2 linked regions of the Cricetulus griseus genome follow. The protein of the gene in region 1 binds, or shares a complex with, the protein of each later gene. Links are inferred from orthologs where the notes say so. Each region holds a gene or a part of one and is shown on either strand. Other genes may lie near its edges.

Region 1 (7,961 bases):
CCATCTGTTTATGGACAAGGCATCTAAAAGGATATAACACTACAATATGACATGTGACAAAGACTGAGAATGGGCAAGAAAGCAAAGGAAGGAAACACAGTAGCTTGGGAGTGAAATGGCAAAAGGACGGCCAGGAGAAACCCCTGTGAGAAGCTGACCTTGGAGCAGAATCTTTCAGAAGTCAGGAGAAAGCTCTCTGGAGGGGGCTATAGAACATTCCAGAGAAGTATCCCAGTTTACCATGTTGAGTTGGCATTGTACAGAAATTAATAGCCATATTGGCCTAGAAATGTTAAACTTACTTTTTTTCCCATTTGCACAGGGGTAACATACTGTATCAAATATGTAAGGTCTTATCTACGTGGGTTTGATTACAAAAACCAATAAAGTAGTCTCTAAATAAATAAATAATTAAAAAGAACATTCCAGGGAAAGAACAGCAGAGGGAGCAGCTTGTAGGAAACGGAACAGAGAAGTGTCCAGGGAATGTCAACAAACCAATTCACTTGGATCCCTGACAGCCACACACAGAAATGGACCAAACTCACCAGTTGGGAAACAGATGGGCACATTGGATTTGAGTCTCTCATTTGTGTATTGCTCTGAGGATATCATAGGATTGGGGAAGAGTGCAAAAAAAACAAAAGACAGATGCAATCCATGTTGCAAACCAAGACAAAATGTAAATCATAGTGCAAACCATATCTCCTCACGCTGCTAAAGCAAAAATGAAACCCTCAATCCCCACCAGAGAATACCATTGAGGGACATAAGCATATATCACATGTACATTTGGAAGTGAGCGACAGACCACACAGGTGACTGTGGTGAGGTTGTCATTAGCATACACAATGTCTTCAAGCATATTGATAAGTTTTTAAGTATCTTAAGATGGGTGGTGCACTTGTGTATATGATGTAACCTCATTATATGCCTGTCACGTCAAAAATAATCCATAGAGGGCCAAAGAAACAGCTCAGAAAACCTGATGACTGAGTTCTATCTCTATCCCCAGAGCCCATGGTGGAAGGAAGTGACTCTTAAAAGGTTTGCTCTGACTGCCATGAGTGCCAGCACACACACACACACACACACACACACACACACACACACACACTCACACACACACACACACACACACACACAAACACACTTATGCACACACACAGGATAGTAATTAATTAATGAAAAGTTTACTCCACATGAAAACAAAAACAAGAGCAAAATCCCTATAAGTTCTTGCTGGGGATATTGATCACTGGTAGAGTGTTTGCCTATCATACCTAAGGCCCTGGATTCAACCACCTTCCAGAAACACACACACACACACACACACACACACACACACACACACACACACACACCAGAACAAATCAAAATAGAAACCCCAAGGCTAAGCCACTCCCTCAAGTCATATTACATATGACCTTTATAGGTCATATGTCATAGAACTAGGGACAGGACAGAACCCTGTGAAGCTGCCGGCCACAGAGTGTTACTGGTGAGAAAGGCAAGGCAACTGATGTCCTTAGGATGCTTAGATGCACGCTAGTAACAGCTGACATGCCCTCCATAAAATGAATACAACGTCTTTTCATAAGGGAGCTTCCTCCATTAAGCAGAAGAGAAAAGAACTAGCAGATATGCACTGTATGGCAAAAGTGTCCCAAGAGAGCTGGTGAGGGGGAGAAATGAGGTCAGACTGTCCCCAGAATCCCCAAGGTACAGTGGCTGCTGCCTCACCATTGTGCACGTTTCCCTGAAGTGCTGGACTGTGCTAGGAGCCAATGTCCTGGGCACAGAGCTTTTCCAGGACCCTGCCTGTGTTTACTCTTCCTCCGGCCTTGTGTCCAACAGTTGTGGTTACGCACACACTGGAGGACCCTGGCTTATTTGAAAGCGACGTAGTTAAGCCCTTCCTACACCGTGTACATGCAATGGCAGGGTTTTCTTTCCGTGTCTACTACCAGATAGGCAGCTGTTTCTAGTTGGTTTGCCCTGGTTTCAGCGGTGGTGGAAGTCCCACACCTCTTTACAAACACACCACTTGTCAAGGCTTCCGTTCGTTCGTGTCACGCAGATGAGTAATGTGTGGTGGAAATGACTGATCTCCGAGGTGTACGGTGTGCGCAGGACACGCTCCTAATGAAAACTCCATTCACCCCTGCCTCTTCCCTGCTCAGCTTGTGACTGGATGAGGGAGGGAAAGAGGCAGCGAATGTGACAGCACCTCCGGTAGCAGGACCAACCTTTTGATTTTTTTGTGAGGTTTATTTCTGCTCTTGCTGGGAGCGGGAAAGACCAGGGTACGGTTGGCAGAAGGGCTGCACAGCCTGTCGCCTCAGCCAGTCGCGCACAGGAGCTTACTCAGCTTGGCTGCCAGTGCGAAGAAGTCTCCTTCGAGGGACCAGAGCAGCTCTCCAACAAGGAGGTGGGCTGCCACCCATCTGGGTGAGGGCGCCCAGGCTCAGAGAACAAGCTGTGCTTTTTCAGGAGGGACTCCGGAGGCACAGGGGAGACGCAGTTGAGTTCTTACTGCTCGCCGCCCCCGCCCGCCCCCCCCCCCCCCGTGCAGAAGAAACTCTGCCCGCCACTGGGAACCCCAGAGAGAGGTTTGCCCTGCAGAAGACCAGGGAGAAAGCAGGAGGGAGCCGCAGCGCAGCGCAGCGCTTAGTGTGGGAAGCTCAGCGACTCTGCACTATCCAAGGTGTGCAGCACAGTGCCCTGACAGCTCGCTTGGATAAAGAGGCTCAGAGCAACAGGTGCGACCCCACGGCACTGCGGGAGCAAGGGGACACGGCCAGAAAAGGATTAGAACCGGTAAGGCGCAAAAGACCAGGCTGATCGCGTGGTCGAGTCCTATCAGCCCAGCTCGCAATCGGAGGAGTCACACAGAGGACCAGTACCTCTTGTGTTGTGGAGTCCACCGCCCCCGCATGGGAAGGTTCAACTAGGTACTTGCAGCACCGCCCCCTCTGTAGCCAGGCCAGGCACCAAGGACAGTTTGACCAGGCGCGGCCCGGGGCGCTGCCCCCTGCTCTCTTTTCAGGTTGCTGGGGGTTCTGGCTGGAGATACACGCTCTCACTGCACTGTGCCGAGACACCCGGAGATTCTCAGCTATCCCCAGAGCCCGCCTTCCCTGCCTGGCACTCCTTCCCAGCGCTTTCCGTTGCATAGACACCCAAGGGGTGTGCCAGTAAGTGATGGAACTGGCTACCTTGAATCTCAGCGAGGGGAACGAGGGGAACGGGAGTGATCCAGAGCCTCCCGCGGCTGTGGAGTCCAGGCTGCTGTTTGGCATCGGCGTGGAGAACTTCATCACGCTGGTGGTGTTCGGCCTGATATTCGCGATGGGCGTGCTGGGGAACAGCCTGGTGATCACTGTCCTGGCGCGCAGCAAACCTGGCAAGCCGCGCAGCACCACCAACCTGTTCATCCTCAACCTCAGCATCGCAGACCTGGCCTATCTGCTCTTTTGCATTCCCTTCCAGGCCACCGTGTACGCACTGCCCACTTGGGTGCTGGGCGCCTTCATCTGCAAGTTCACACACTACTTCTTCACTGTATCCATGCTCGTGAGCATTTTCACCTTGGCCGCGATGTCTGTGGACCGCTACGTGGCCATCGTGCACTCGCGGCGCTCCTCCTCCCTCAGGGTGTCCCGCAATGCGCTGCTGGGCGTGGGCTTCATCTGGGCACTGTCTATCGCCATGGCCTCACCAGTGGCCTACCACCAGCGTCTCTACTATCGGGACAACAACCAAACCTTCTGCTGGGAGCTTTGGCCCAACCAGCTCCACAAGAAGGCTTATGTGGTGTGCACTTTCGTCTTTGGCTATCTCCTGCCCTTACTGCTCATCTGCTTTTGCTATGCCAAGGTGAGTGGGGAGCACTGTCCCCCCGACCAAGCCTCTAGCATCCTGCTCCTCTGCTCCTTCTACCTCTCCATTCCATTTTGTCTCAGCTTGCTCTATAATGATTTGTGACACAAGAAAGTTAACTTAGAGTTTGAGAGGTACTGGGGAGAGTTCGCATTCCTGTCTAGAGAGACTTTCATTCTGCTTTTCTTCAAGGGCACTGCAGCTCTGCCTCAGGTGGCCTCACAAAGCACAGAGGCAGGTGTGTGTCCCAGATCTGCTGGGACACACCATGGGTGGAAGGGCAGCTGCTGTTTCCCAGCAAGGTTTTGTGGACAGCGTTGGGGATCCAGGTGGTGAGCTTGGTCTGGAAAGGGGCAGCAAGAACACACAGCGAGGGGAGCTATATGATTATCTATCTTGTCGTCATGATTTTGGAAGAACCTGTGGCTCACAACTCCTAAGGAATTGCAGAGAAATGGGCATTTACATTAATCAAAAGTCTTAGACTTCTCAATCACCACCTGATGCACCATTAATCATCCAGAGTGTATTTTTAGTGGCCACTTGATGAGGTTCTTGAGATAACCTCAATGTCATATCTCTTTTTAGGGTACTATGAGAACTAGCGGGGAAGGGGGGAATCCCTGCAAGGCAAATTCTAAAGTTTCCATGCAACTTTATCCTTCATTGACTCCCAATCTTTTGGACTGTGGGCAGTAGGACCATAAACAACTTCCTATCTAGAAAAGCAATGGTTTCTTACATCCCACTATAAGGTACATCTCCACCAGAAAAATACATTTAAAAGAATCCATCTTCCCCACGTCTATGTGATCAGTATGTCTTTTGAATGGCCATATTACTTAAATGAATACACTGGCTCCCAAGATGCTTGTACAGCCTAGCTGTCAGGAAGTAGCCAATTTATTCCTTTGGTCTTTTCAAATGCAAGGCAAAGACTTCTATGCACAGTGAGTTGTGGGGCATGCACACACACCCATGAGCTTGGTCTTCGAGCCTCTGGGTGGGAATTGCCATCTCTATCTTATTAATAAGAGGACTTTCAGAGGGATGCAACAACTGACCAGATGGTGAGTCTGGTAAAAGAAGGGGTTTCAGGAGATGACAATTAATTGGCCTCTGGAGGACAGGGGCTGGGAACTAGAGCTGTACTTAAAATATTGCTCTTTTAAATTCCTAACTGCTACTTTGAAAAGGAAACACAGGCTCTCTTCATCCCCTGCCCCAAGTCCCTAGGGGGAAAACCATTTCCATCTTTGTGGAAATGAAAAAGTAAACTTTTAGGACTAAACAGGCTGTCAATAAAGAGTCTACAAAAGTCCCACAGAAGACAAAGTCTAGGAACTAATGAATGGGTGAAAATTTGACTATTTTTTCATCCAGAAATAGTTGGCTTCTCACCAAGTAGTCTAGCTGCAAACATCTTTTGAGTCAATGTTAATACTTGCACATTTATTCCAGGCCCTAAATAGCTACAGATAAGAGACCTGGAGTTGCTGTTTTCTGTCAGGCAGTAAGTAAGTGTCATCTAGTTAATGACTCTAGAACTTGAGTGCCAGGTTCTGAACTGGCTATATGTCCAAGGAATTGGGCCAACTCGAGGAACCACAAATGGCCAAAATAACACTTGAGATTGGTGTGTATTTTAGATTTTTCTTTTTAAAAAATCAATGAATAAATTGCATTTATTCATTGATTCAGAGATGATCTTCTCAGCTGTGTTTAGTGAGACAGCTCTTTGCACCTCAAAGACCCTGGAGAGCATAGTGAGTTGGAGCAGCCTGTGTTCTTCAAGACGGCTCCTCTCTGCACTGTAGGGCTCTTGACTGCCACTCTCTGTCCTCAGCATGCATTCTGCTTAGAGCCCTCCTAGGTCTGAAGTGAGGGCATGCCCACTATGCTCATTGTCTCCAGAGATAAAATCATAAGTGGTCCCAATGTCTACAATCTCTTGCTTGATGGCAGGACCTTGTGCCACTATGTGCTTATAGCCTGAGCTGTGGAGGGAAAACAGAGCTAAGAAGAACACATTTGGAATCATCTCTGTGGACTGATCAGCAAAGTCAATATGCTTAGGTGCTGCAGAATTCCTGAACTGGAACCCAACTTAGTTGGCCTGACTATGTAAACCCAGTTAACATCAAGAAGTATGCCACCCATACTTATGCCTTTAGTGAACTCTTTCAGCATATCCGTATTCTTTTCCTTGTGACCCACAGTACTGTGATGTCTGTTCTTTAGACAACTCCCTCTAGGGATTCAGCATCACTGGTGACATATGACCATCTTGCAGGTTTTGCACTTAGCATATCTGTTTTTGCTTTAATAAGTCTGCAAATATTAACATCTATGCAAAAGATGGTTTCCAGCTAGAATAGCTGCTTAGAGGCTACTCTGTTCTCTTGCTACTATCATATTTGGGAGAGATGCTGTGAATGTTGTTGTTGCTGTCATATATAAGAATTTACAATCATGCCAGCTGTTGTCAGCTAGCTGGACTGTCCTTTCCATCAGCAGGCTCCTGGCTCCAGCCTCACCTCCCTCTTACAGGCTTTTCTCATTGCTGCTATTGAAAACCCCTCGGTGACTGCCTTCTATGTACTTTCTGTTGGCAGGACAGAGCTACTTCACTGTCAATGCACCAGCAAGTTGTCCACTTGCTCCCATAGTAAGCAGAGGCTTGTGTGGCTGACAGACACTGATGTGTTTTCAGCAGTGAGAGGTGTCTTGGTAAGGCAGGGAATCTGAAGGCAGAGACTCACACCAGAGACGGTTGCTTGGTTGTCGGCTCTGACTGCTAGGGCAGGGAAGGCTGGTAAATGAATCCTGAGGTTTCTCAATTAGGATGTGACTGATGGTGCTGCCTCTGTCAGAGTGGAGAAGGCTTCAGCGGCGGCCAGGCCAATTCGATTACATTATTTCCATGCTGTGGTGTTGGAGGAAAACATCCAAGTTGCTTGAACATGCGTCCATGTCCTGAGAGCCTTTTCAGAAACCTGCAGCCCATTTCAAGCTCTTTGCCATTTATTCCCAGTTCTCCAACAGAATAGAGAAAATAAGCCTTGGGCCAGCTCTGCAGGTTACAAACCGGGGAGCAAGTTCAGACTGTAAATTCCCATATATAATTGATATAATTTCTCCCAAATATCACAGTGGCAAGAGAACAGAGTGGGTTCTCAATGAATGAAAGCTACCTTACCTCACTGACAGGTATGGTAAGGGTAAAACCTGCAATCATCACCAACGATGCCGAATTCCTAAAAGGGGGGTTATGTCTAAGGGCCACATAGTGAGACTGGAGAGATGGCTTAGCTGCTAAAGGCTAGGCTTACAACCAAAAATATAAGACCACACAGTGTTTGAATTACACAAGAAAGCAGCGTTGCTAGCTGGTGCTTTGCTCGAAGAGATCTGTAATGGGAGAGGTTTGTAGCAAGTATTGAAACTGGCACAGGACAGGGGAATCCACAGAGTAACTGTAAAGTCTCTTCTTTGTTCAGTAGGTTTTCTTCACTGGATCATCAACTCCCATAGCCTGGGTCTCCAGTTTTCAGTGGGTCTCTGAGCTGTCACTGAACCCCAGGACCTGGTGTTTTTAGGCATGTAGATTCTTCGGCAGAAAGAACTAAAGCAGGGAGAGCAGTGGATTGCAGGAGCAAGCCATACCCCACCTTCAGGGGAGGTTCTTTCCCTCAAGAAACTCTGAGCATGTTAGCATTCTCATGGACTCTACCATGTCTGGGTGTTGTCTGTCTTCAGGGATACCTCTGAACGTATCCATTGACTTTGATTCAGGGTTGTTTTGATCTATGATGCATTCCTATTTTCATTGTTTTGTAAACAATAGTGTGATCACAGCAGAATGTTCAGTGGCTGCCACTGAAGAAGAGGCAATGTGTAAGCAAAGCATGAGGTAAACACATCTTATCTGTCTTTATTTTGCAGGTCCTTAACCATCTGCATAAAAAGTTGAAGAACATGTCAAAAAAGTCAGAAGCATCCAAGAAAAAGGTAATATTCTCAAACAGGTGCAGTGGCTGTCAATTTTGGAGAGCTCTGCTTGCTTTTTGTTTTAAGTT
Region 2 (8,183 bases), on another chromosome or scaffold:
TACAGTCAGTAAAGTGGTTGCCATGTGTCCTGCATTCCATCCCCAGTGTGCAAAACTGTGTAAAAACCCTGGGCAGAAATGATGTACACTTGTAATCCCCTTGCTGGGGAGGAGTCAGGTAAACCTTGGGGCTCAGGGTCTAGTCATCAGAGCTTAATTTGCAAGCTCCAGATCCCACGAGAGACCAAGTCTCAAAACAAAACAAAATAAAGCAAAGGTAGACAGCTCCTGGGGAGCACCACAATACTCCACAACACACTCACCTGTGCACACCTTTACACATAAACACACACACACACACACACACACACACACACACACACACACCACACCACACACCGCTAATAATAAATTGAATGAAATCTCCAGAATTAAGATAGAAAAACAACTTGGGGCTGGAGAGATGCTCAGCAGCTAAGAGCACAGGCTGCTCTTCCAGAGGACCCAGGTTTGATTCCCAGCACCCCTGTGGCTGCTCACAATCACCTATGACTCCCCTTCCTGGGGATCCAACTTCTGGCCTCTGTAGGTACTGCATGCATTTGGCACACACACTCTCGGACAAAACCCCTATATACATAAAAATATAAACAAAAATGTAAAAAACTTTAGAAGACATAGAGCTCTAACAGAACATCCTCAGATGTTCCCCCAAGCTTTCCTTGCACACTGGACCTCATAACCTACATAACCCCTGAGGAAAGTGCTGGCTATTTATATGAAGGGTGCTAGCAAACTTTCAAGTGTGTTTTGAAAATCTGTAGCAAATGAATACAGGGACTCACTCACAGGCTGACACACTGCTGTCTGTTGACACATTGCTTTAGTTAAATCTTTCCCAAGGTGGTATTTTGTTTTGTTTTGGCTTGTGCATGCCTGGTAGAGGCCCTATCACTGAACCACACTCCCAGCCCCTAGCTGAGAGATTCTAAGGACGTGGTCTGCTCCTGAACCACAACCCTAGCTCCAGCTTCTGTTCCCCCATCCCAGAGAATTATTTGGAGATTTTTTCCCCCCAAAGACCACTGTGTTACTAGGGTCAGGTTAGAAGGAACTGGGCCAGTAGAAACAGGTGGAAGAGAGTCAAGCACGTCTTCAGGGTGAAGGTTGGACAGTTTCAGATCATCTAACCATTCTCTTGGTTGCTTCTCCGGTCATAATGAGATCACAGTGGGGTACAGGGCCGCTTCTCAGTCTGGTGGCTCTTCCCAGCCTCTCCTTTCATGAGTCCATCTTCCCAGCATGGCCAGAAATGGTGATGACTTATTCTCCCATTTGTTTGTCTGTGCTCATTTACCCATCAGATGGCGAATGTTTTGTGGGAAATGCCGATCACAGTAGCTCCAGATGCATCAACTGTAAAACTCCAAATAACACGGGCTTGAATAAAAAGTGGACTTTGTTCTGAAACACGCCTAGAGGCAGGCAGCAAAGGATCTGGTTTCAGGTACCCATAATCACAGCTCCTTCAGTCTGGTTGTCTACCATAGCCATCACCTTGGGCTCCAAATAGTTGCTTCCCTCCAGCCAGGAGGAAGAAGCAAAGGAAGACTGAAAAGAGGCATACCCACATGGTGTCCTCCACCTGGAATGTGTGGGGCCCGGGCTCTTCATTGGGACATATCTACCTGCTTGTTAGCTCTGGATTCACAGACCTTCTCACCATAACGGTTATTTGGAGAACGGTTGTATATTCAGGTCTGCACCAGATTGGAGTTCCCCTGGGGGCAGGCCCCTCTGTTTCAGAACCACAGCTGCAGTGCCAGGGCACTGCTGATACAGTCCCAAGTGGGATGCTGTTCTTGAGCCCCCGGGTCTTTGGTGTTCAGGTTTGGGTAGTTTTTCTTGGTGGCAGCGGCAAGCAGAGCTTCTGAGAAAGTCTGGACTTACAGGTAGGAAAATGACACTTTGTGTTTCATGTCCATTACTCTAATGGTGACCCATTTTGCTAGCTACATGCTGGGCCGCCTTGAAGATGACAAGTTGACAATGATTCCATTGGGTCATTGCTGAGTGAAGAGCCCATTAGAATAAGGCCTTGGGTTCCAGCACAGCATGTACCAGGAAGGAGGGTGCTGTTATCCTGTACCCTGTCCTCATTTGTAGGAGCGAGTTTATCAGTGATGTGGCAAGTCACAGCCCTGTCCTGTTTCTACCTTCCGGTGTTTCCCCAGTAGGTGCCAGGCACTCCAGAGGTTGGACAGAAACCTCATCACCCAACCAAAATGGGGAGCAGTGATAGCAGGGGCCACCCCAAGTGGTGGAAACACCCTGGAGGGGAGTGACGTTGAAGGGTGAGCTTTGAGTCTGGCCCCAGTCTTCCACATAGCTTCCTTCCTTTTCTCCGTTTTTTTAAAAAGACAGGGCTTCATTTATTCCAAGCTGGCCTCAAGCTCACTGTATAGTGGAGAACAACCTTAAAACTCCTGCCTCTCTCAGCCTTCCCCATGCTGAGGGTACAGGTGCATACCACCACACCCAGCTTGCTATAACCTCCTTAAATGAATTCCTAACACGAAAGTATTTAATTAGGGCCATGTCTGGTTGCCCTGTGAGACATGTTAGGAGAAATGATCACTGGGTAGTCTTGGCTCCTGTTGGTTTTTGTTTTGTTTTGTTTTTAACCTTTTGAGATGGGATCTGGCCACATTACTCAGGCTGGCCTTGAACTTTTAGGTTCAAGACACCATCCTATCTTAGCTGAGACAGCTGAGTGGCAGGCTGTTGCCACTGTGTCTCAATGGTTATGGGACAGACACTCACTTGGTCTGTTTTCCCCTTTATCCCAGCTGCTTCTGATCAGGGGGACACATTGGGGCTCTGCCTTCTGGTCAGCTGACTGAGATCTCAGTGGCCAATGTGAGAGGTACTTCCCTCTCCCTCTGTTGAGCCTCCCATGGGGCCTGATGGCTGGATGTTCAGGCCCTAGCCTGCCCAAGGTTGGATTTCCCTGGAGTCTAGGGGAGATGTGGGCAGAGGAGTGTTGTCCACCTATTGGTTTTGAACATTTGCAAAACAAGAGGGGTTGAAGACAAAGTATCATTTCGTTAAAAGGAGGGCCGGCAAGATGGCTTAGTGGGCAAAGGTACTCAGTACAAGACTGGAAATCCAGAACTACGTAAATATCAGAGATAACTAGCTTTCAGAGTTGTCCCTTGACTCCCACGTGTGCCATGACACACACGCCCAGGTGTGCTGATCCAGTGTTCCAGCACTCTATGGCCTTCCTGTCCATGTGGCCAGCCACCCTCCACTCTGCCCGCACCCCTGAATGGCTGCCCCCCCTCCACCTTCAGCAAAACAGGAGTGGAGGTCCCTGGTCCCTGGGTAGGGAAGCTGCAGGTGGAGAGCAGGACCTGGGAACTTGGTTTTTCAGGAGGTGCCCCGGACTGTGACTGGCCTCGCTTGGGATGTTGAGTGGTCCTTCCAGCCCCAGCCCTGGGAAGGAGAGTAAGACTCCTCGCCAGCCTCAGGATGGGGGTGTCAGAGTCACTCTTGTTTGAGCACCGGGTTGGAACATTGGGGGAGGAGCTCTGTGATGCAGGGATGGCTCGGGTGACGGTCTGGGACTGGGGGTGGTCCTCTCCTTCTCCCAGGAGCGGTTCCTGTCACTGCGGCCCTTGGGACTCGCGGGAGGCGGCGCTGAGCGGGTGACGCGGCAGCTCCCAGCTCCCGTGGGGCATAAATAGCAGCGACAGCGCTGCTCCTGCTGCGGACACGTCGAGGGATCCTCGCACGCTTTCTCACGCTGCTGCTCTGTGCCATGCGGTGAGCGAATCGCCCGTCTGCCAGGCCACGTCCGGACAGAGACACCCCTACCTGCGCCTACCAGCCACGCCCAGTTCCCACCGCTACTCAAGGTACCTGCGTCCCAATGAGCTGCGCCAGACCCGAGTCCTCGGGTGGCTGGCCGTCCCGTCCCTGCCCCTGCCCCTCACAGCTTGGTCCCTATCGTCCGGCCTCTCCCACCATCCTGCCACTCCCACATTCCTGTCCGCAGTCCGAATGGCCCCCAGAGATGTGCATGTGCAAGGCCGCTTAGATGGTGTCAACTCGTTCACTTCTCTCCTTCCAGATGGCCAGAGGCAGCGCCCTCCTGCTAGCCTGGCTCCTGTTGGCTGCTACCCTGTCAGCTACTCTGGGGCTTGGGGTGCCAGTAAGTGCTGATGACAGACGACCACTAAAGAGGACTAAGGGGGTCAGACGTGAGGATCAGCCTGGAGCAAAGGATGGTTCATTCTCCCCACAGCAGGGGTGGGGTGGTGGGGAGGGTCCCAAGAGAACGGCTGAGGACCAGCTGGGCACTGACAAGCTCAAAATGGCTCTATTCATAGGGGCCCAGGCTTGTAATTCCAGCGCGCAGGAGGCAGGTGGAGGCGGGAGGATCAAAAGTTCAAGGCTGGGACTCCCCTACATAGCAATATTAGGCCAGCCTGGGCTATTCCCGGGCTGTCTCAACAAAACAGCAAGGAAAAGGCTCCTATTTGTTGGCCAACAACTGTGGTAAACAGACTAACTCCTCCAGAGATTGGGGGTGCTAGAGGCACAGCCCTCAGCCCTGAGGCTGCTCAGGAGAAAGTCTGCCTGCCACCTGGCTCTGAAGAGAGTACTAGGAGTTACCATCTGAGCCCTGCTCTGATTTGAACATTTGGACCCAGAATTAGTGGATGCAGCTGTGTGTTCAGGTCAAATGCTGTCACTCAGGGCAGCCTGGGTGCCTAGGCTTCTCTGTGCTGGGCTGGGCTACTCTGCTCTTCAGCCCAGGGACCTAGGCTGTCTGACCCATGCCATCCTATTTTAGGCGAAGGAGAAGAGAGGCTGGACCCTGAACAGCGCTGGCTACCTTCTGGGCCCACGTGAGTGATGTAGGGCTGGGTGGCTGAGGTTTTGTGGGTCCTGATGTGACTATGGGAACCAGGCACTGTTCTCATAGTCAATTTACTCTCAGATGAAAACCAGGGGGCATTCCCATGTGGCTGTGGGGACTGTGGGTTTCCATTAGCCAAACCACTGCAACTTAAAACACCTGCTGAAATGCCTTACCCCTCCAGCCTCCAGCTCTTATAGCCGTTGAGCTCATTCCTGGGGTCTCCTGGAAACCCCAGTGCCTACCCTCCTCGATTTATCTTGCCTCTGAGCCTGCTCTGGTCTGAACCTTTCTCTTCCACTTCTCAAAGCTGCCCTGCCCCACTCAGCACCTGATACCTCTGGGCAAACCAGGGACTGCCCATTATTGCTCTGCACATTTAAACTCAGCACCTGTTCCTTCTAGAAGTTTCTTCTGATTTGGGCTTCTTGGGGAGTCTTCCAGGACTCCTTGGAGTTCTGATTGGGTCTACTCTCTGAGTCCCTGGGTCTTACTAACACCCTCTTCTACTTCCTGGAATCCTGAAGCTGCCCTCTGAGCTCTAGAAGGGAACTCTGACAAAGGTAGCCAGATGTCTCATCTTAAGACTCACCTGAGCTGGTTTCTTTCTTGCTCAAACATTTTCCCCCAGTCCCAGCCCCAAGGTCACCCCAGCACCTTACACTAACACTAGTCTTGTCCCTTCAGCACAGGTCCCACTCTATGTCACTAGTGCTTTTTCTGCATTCGTGGCTGGGGAGGATTAGAATCTGAGGCTTTGCATGGAGTGGGGTGGGGCAGATCACCCAAGTGGTGTTGATGACACATCCATCACATCTCACTGTCGTCACCCTGTGGGGAATGGAGGTTGATGCTTGGCCTTCTTTGAGTTTGATGTTTGTGTAGTGTGAATGTTTTGTTACCTGTGACCACCAGAGACAGGGTCTTTGCTTGAGGCTGTGGAGTCACCAAGGGGCAAAGACAGCTCTGCAGGGACAGGCAGCCACAGAGGGGAAAGGTGCTTGCAGACAGCTGGAAGATACTGGCTCCCTCCTGAGAGTTGCCTAGTTAGTTGCTTAGCTGTTGTGGTTTTTAAATTCACATGCACAGCTGGCTCTGAGACACCTGTACCCATTTGCTGGCCCCTGGCACTTGGGTAGAAACAAAACATCCATCCATCCACCCCTATCCTCAGTCCACCAGAGGGGAAGGGACAGTGGAGTGGGGGCCCGTGCCTCTGAGCCTGTGTTGCATGAGGCCACATGTTCACACTGCAGATGTGTGTGCTCATCCTTCAAGAAACAAAGCATAGGGTTGACAAATCTGCCTGGGGCCCTGTGCAGGGTCCACATAGTCACCTGATTCCTGGAAAGATCTCCTAGCCCGGGATTGTGGAGAGGTCTGCAGACTGGTTCCCAGAGTCCTCACAGGTATGAGCCTGGTACTGACCCTTGTCACGTTACAATATTGAAAATGTTATCTGGAAGACTTTGAGCCAGAATAGAAAACTTGTTCCCACTGTCAAGTTCATGCAGCCATCCAGCTGGGTCAGCAGGTGCACTGTGGACTGCCAGGTGTCAGGTACTTTTGATGCCACCAAGGTGTGGCAGGTTTTGAAAGGCCAGAGCTGTTGGGATGTGGATGCCTCAGGGAGGAGCTCCAAAATGAGACAATGTAGCTACTCCACGAATTTAGCCCTAAACTCTGGCTCCGTTGAACTCACTGGCCTTTTTGTTTAGCTTGGCTAAGTGAGCTAAGCGGCCAGAAGTCCTGAGCCTCATCCATGTCACCTATTTTGTCTCCTAAGTCGCCCCCTCCAGCCTCTGTGTACCATCTCTCAATACTTGTCAGCTGCCATTTCTTTCCTGGACTCTGACCTCATCTCTTAGGGACCTCTGCCATAGCCACAGTCACAGCTCTCTGCACCCCCATTCCCTGGATACCCCACCTTCCCTGGATGTAATCCTCCTACATGGGAGTGGTCCTTGAAAATAACAGTCTGTTATTTCTCCAATGTCCTAGTTTCCTGGGATGCGGAGACCCAGGTTCTGTTATCTTTCTTGGAGGTATTTCCTAGGAGCCAGCTCCTGTCTTTGGGGCCAGCCACCTCCTGGGATGTTCCCAGCTGCACCTGGCACCTGTTTCTGTCGGAGACATCTACTTCAGTGCCTACCCCTCCTTACCATCAACCTCTCTCTTCCCATTGGAGTCCCAGTTCCCTGTGATCACCACCCTCACCCAGGGACCCTGGAGACATTGCTTCCCTCTTCTGGGGTGTCCACACACTGGCTTTATGCTGGTGGTCCAGCTGTGTGTGGTCTTCCCCTGGGGATGGAAATGGGATAAGCCACAGTGACAGCAGGCCCTTCCTCTCTGGTCTGCAAACAGATGCCATTGACAACCACAGGTCATTTAGTGACAAGCATGGCCTCACAGGCAAGCGGGAGCTACAACTAGAAGCGGAGGAAGGAAGACCAGGTAAAGCTGGAGTCCTTGGATGTGCATCCCGTCACTACCGGGACTCCCGGGTGCATGTGGGGATATGGTGGTGACACCTACCACTATCCTGCCTCCAGTCACAGCCTGGGGCTGTCCTGGCCAGGCAGGACCTGGGAGCAACCTGGGAGCCTGTGGCCTCACACACCTCTCAACTGGCAGGACTGGGGAGCAGAGTCATGGGCATGCAGCTACAACAAGGGAGCTGGCCATGGAAAAGCTGGTTCAGGGTCCCTTCACCTCTCTAGCAAGACCCTGGATGGTCTACAATGCCCCCAGGCTCTCAGCCAGCCTCCCTGGCTTCTGATGGGTAATAGGAGGGTGGTGAGGAAATAGGCCACGACACAGTTCTTTTCCATTGTCTAGGAAGTGTTGATGGACCACTGCCTGAGAGCAACATTGTGCGCACCATAATGGAGTTTCTGAGTTTCCTGCACCTTAAAGGTATGGGAATATTTTCCATCTAAAATAGCACGAGCTCGAGTACACACACACACACACACACACACACACACACACACAGTATTTTAAAAAGTAAAACCTACCAACCAGGTGGGGGACTGTGGGCAAGCTGATATCATTAGAGCCCCAACCCAGGTCCTCAGACCTCTAGGGAGTTTTTAGGGCTTTCTGCAGATCTCTGGGTGACTACTGCTGCTGAGGGTGCCTTGGCTTTGCCAGGGGCTTCTGTGTTTCCGTTTGGTTTTGATCTTAGACACTAGCTTCACAACTACTATGGTCTACCCTCTTTCAAGAGTGGACAGTCTTTCAGAGGTGAGACACACAGATGCTGTCCCAATTCAAGGTCCCCACAGTAAGACCTCACCCCTCTCTATGGGTA

What was found. Proteins that work in one complex are often made in the same cells at the same time.
Region 2: the proteins of Galr1 (region 1) and Gal are in contact, whole or in part, in a cryo-EM structure (PDB 7WQ3), measured with the Homo sapiens proteins. The link is inferred for Cricetulus griseus from reciprocal best matches to the Homo sapiens genes GALR1 and GAL. Residues at the interface, in NP_001471.2 of Homo sapiens: Glu32, Gln92, Thr94, Val95, Tyr96, Leu98, Pro99, Thr100, His112, Gln174, Phe177, Arg180, Gln184, Phe186, Cys187, Trp188, Glu189, Gln190, Ile266, His267, Ala270, Phe275, Leu277, Ser281, Phe282, Arg285; in NP_057057.2 of Homo sapiens: Gly33, Trp34, Leu36, Asn37, Ser38, Gly40, Tyr41, Leu42, Leu43, Gly44, Pro45, Val48.

What each region holds. Positions count from the first base shown.
Region 1 is NC_048595.1:233,138,837-233,146,797, forward strand, and holds the start of Galr1 (galanin receptor type 1), read left to right. Parts: upstream 1-3,204; coding exon 3,205-3,879; intron 3,880-7,827; coding exon 7,828-7,893; intron 7,894-7,961. UniProt on the Homo sapiens protein: Receptor for the hormone galanin. The activity of this receptor is mediated by G proteins that inhibit adenylate cyclase activity.
Region 2 is NC_048596.1:55,826,754-55,834,936, forward strand, and holds the start of Gal (galanin peptides), read left to right. Parts: upstream 1-4,075; coding exon 4,076-4,156; intron 4,157-4,801; coding exon 4,802-4,856; intron 4,857-7,234; coding exon 7,235-7,324; intron 7,325-7,708; coding exon 7,709-7,786; intron 7,787-8,183. UniProt on the Homo sapiens protein: Endocrine hormone of the central and peripheral nervous systems that binds and activates the G protein-coupled receptors GALR1, GALR2, and GALR3.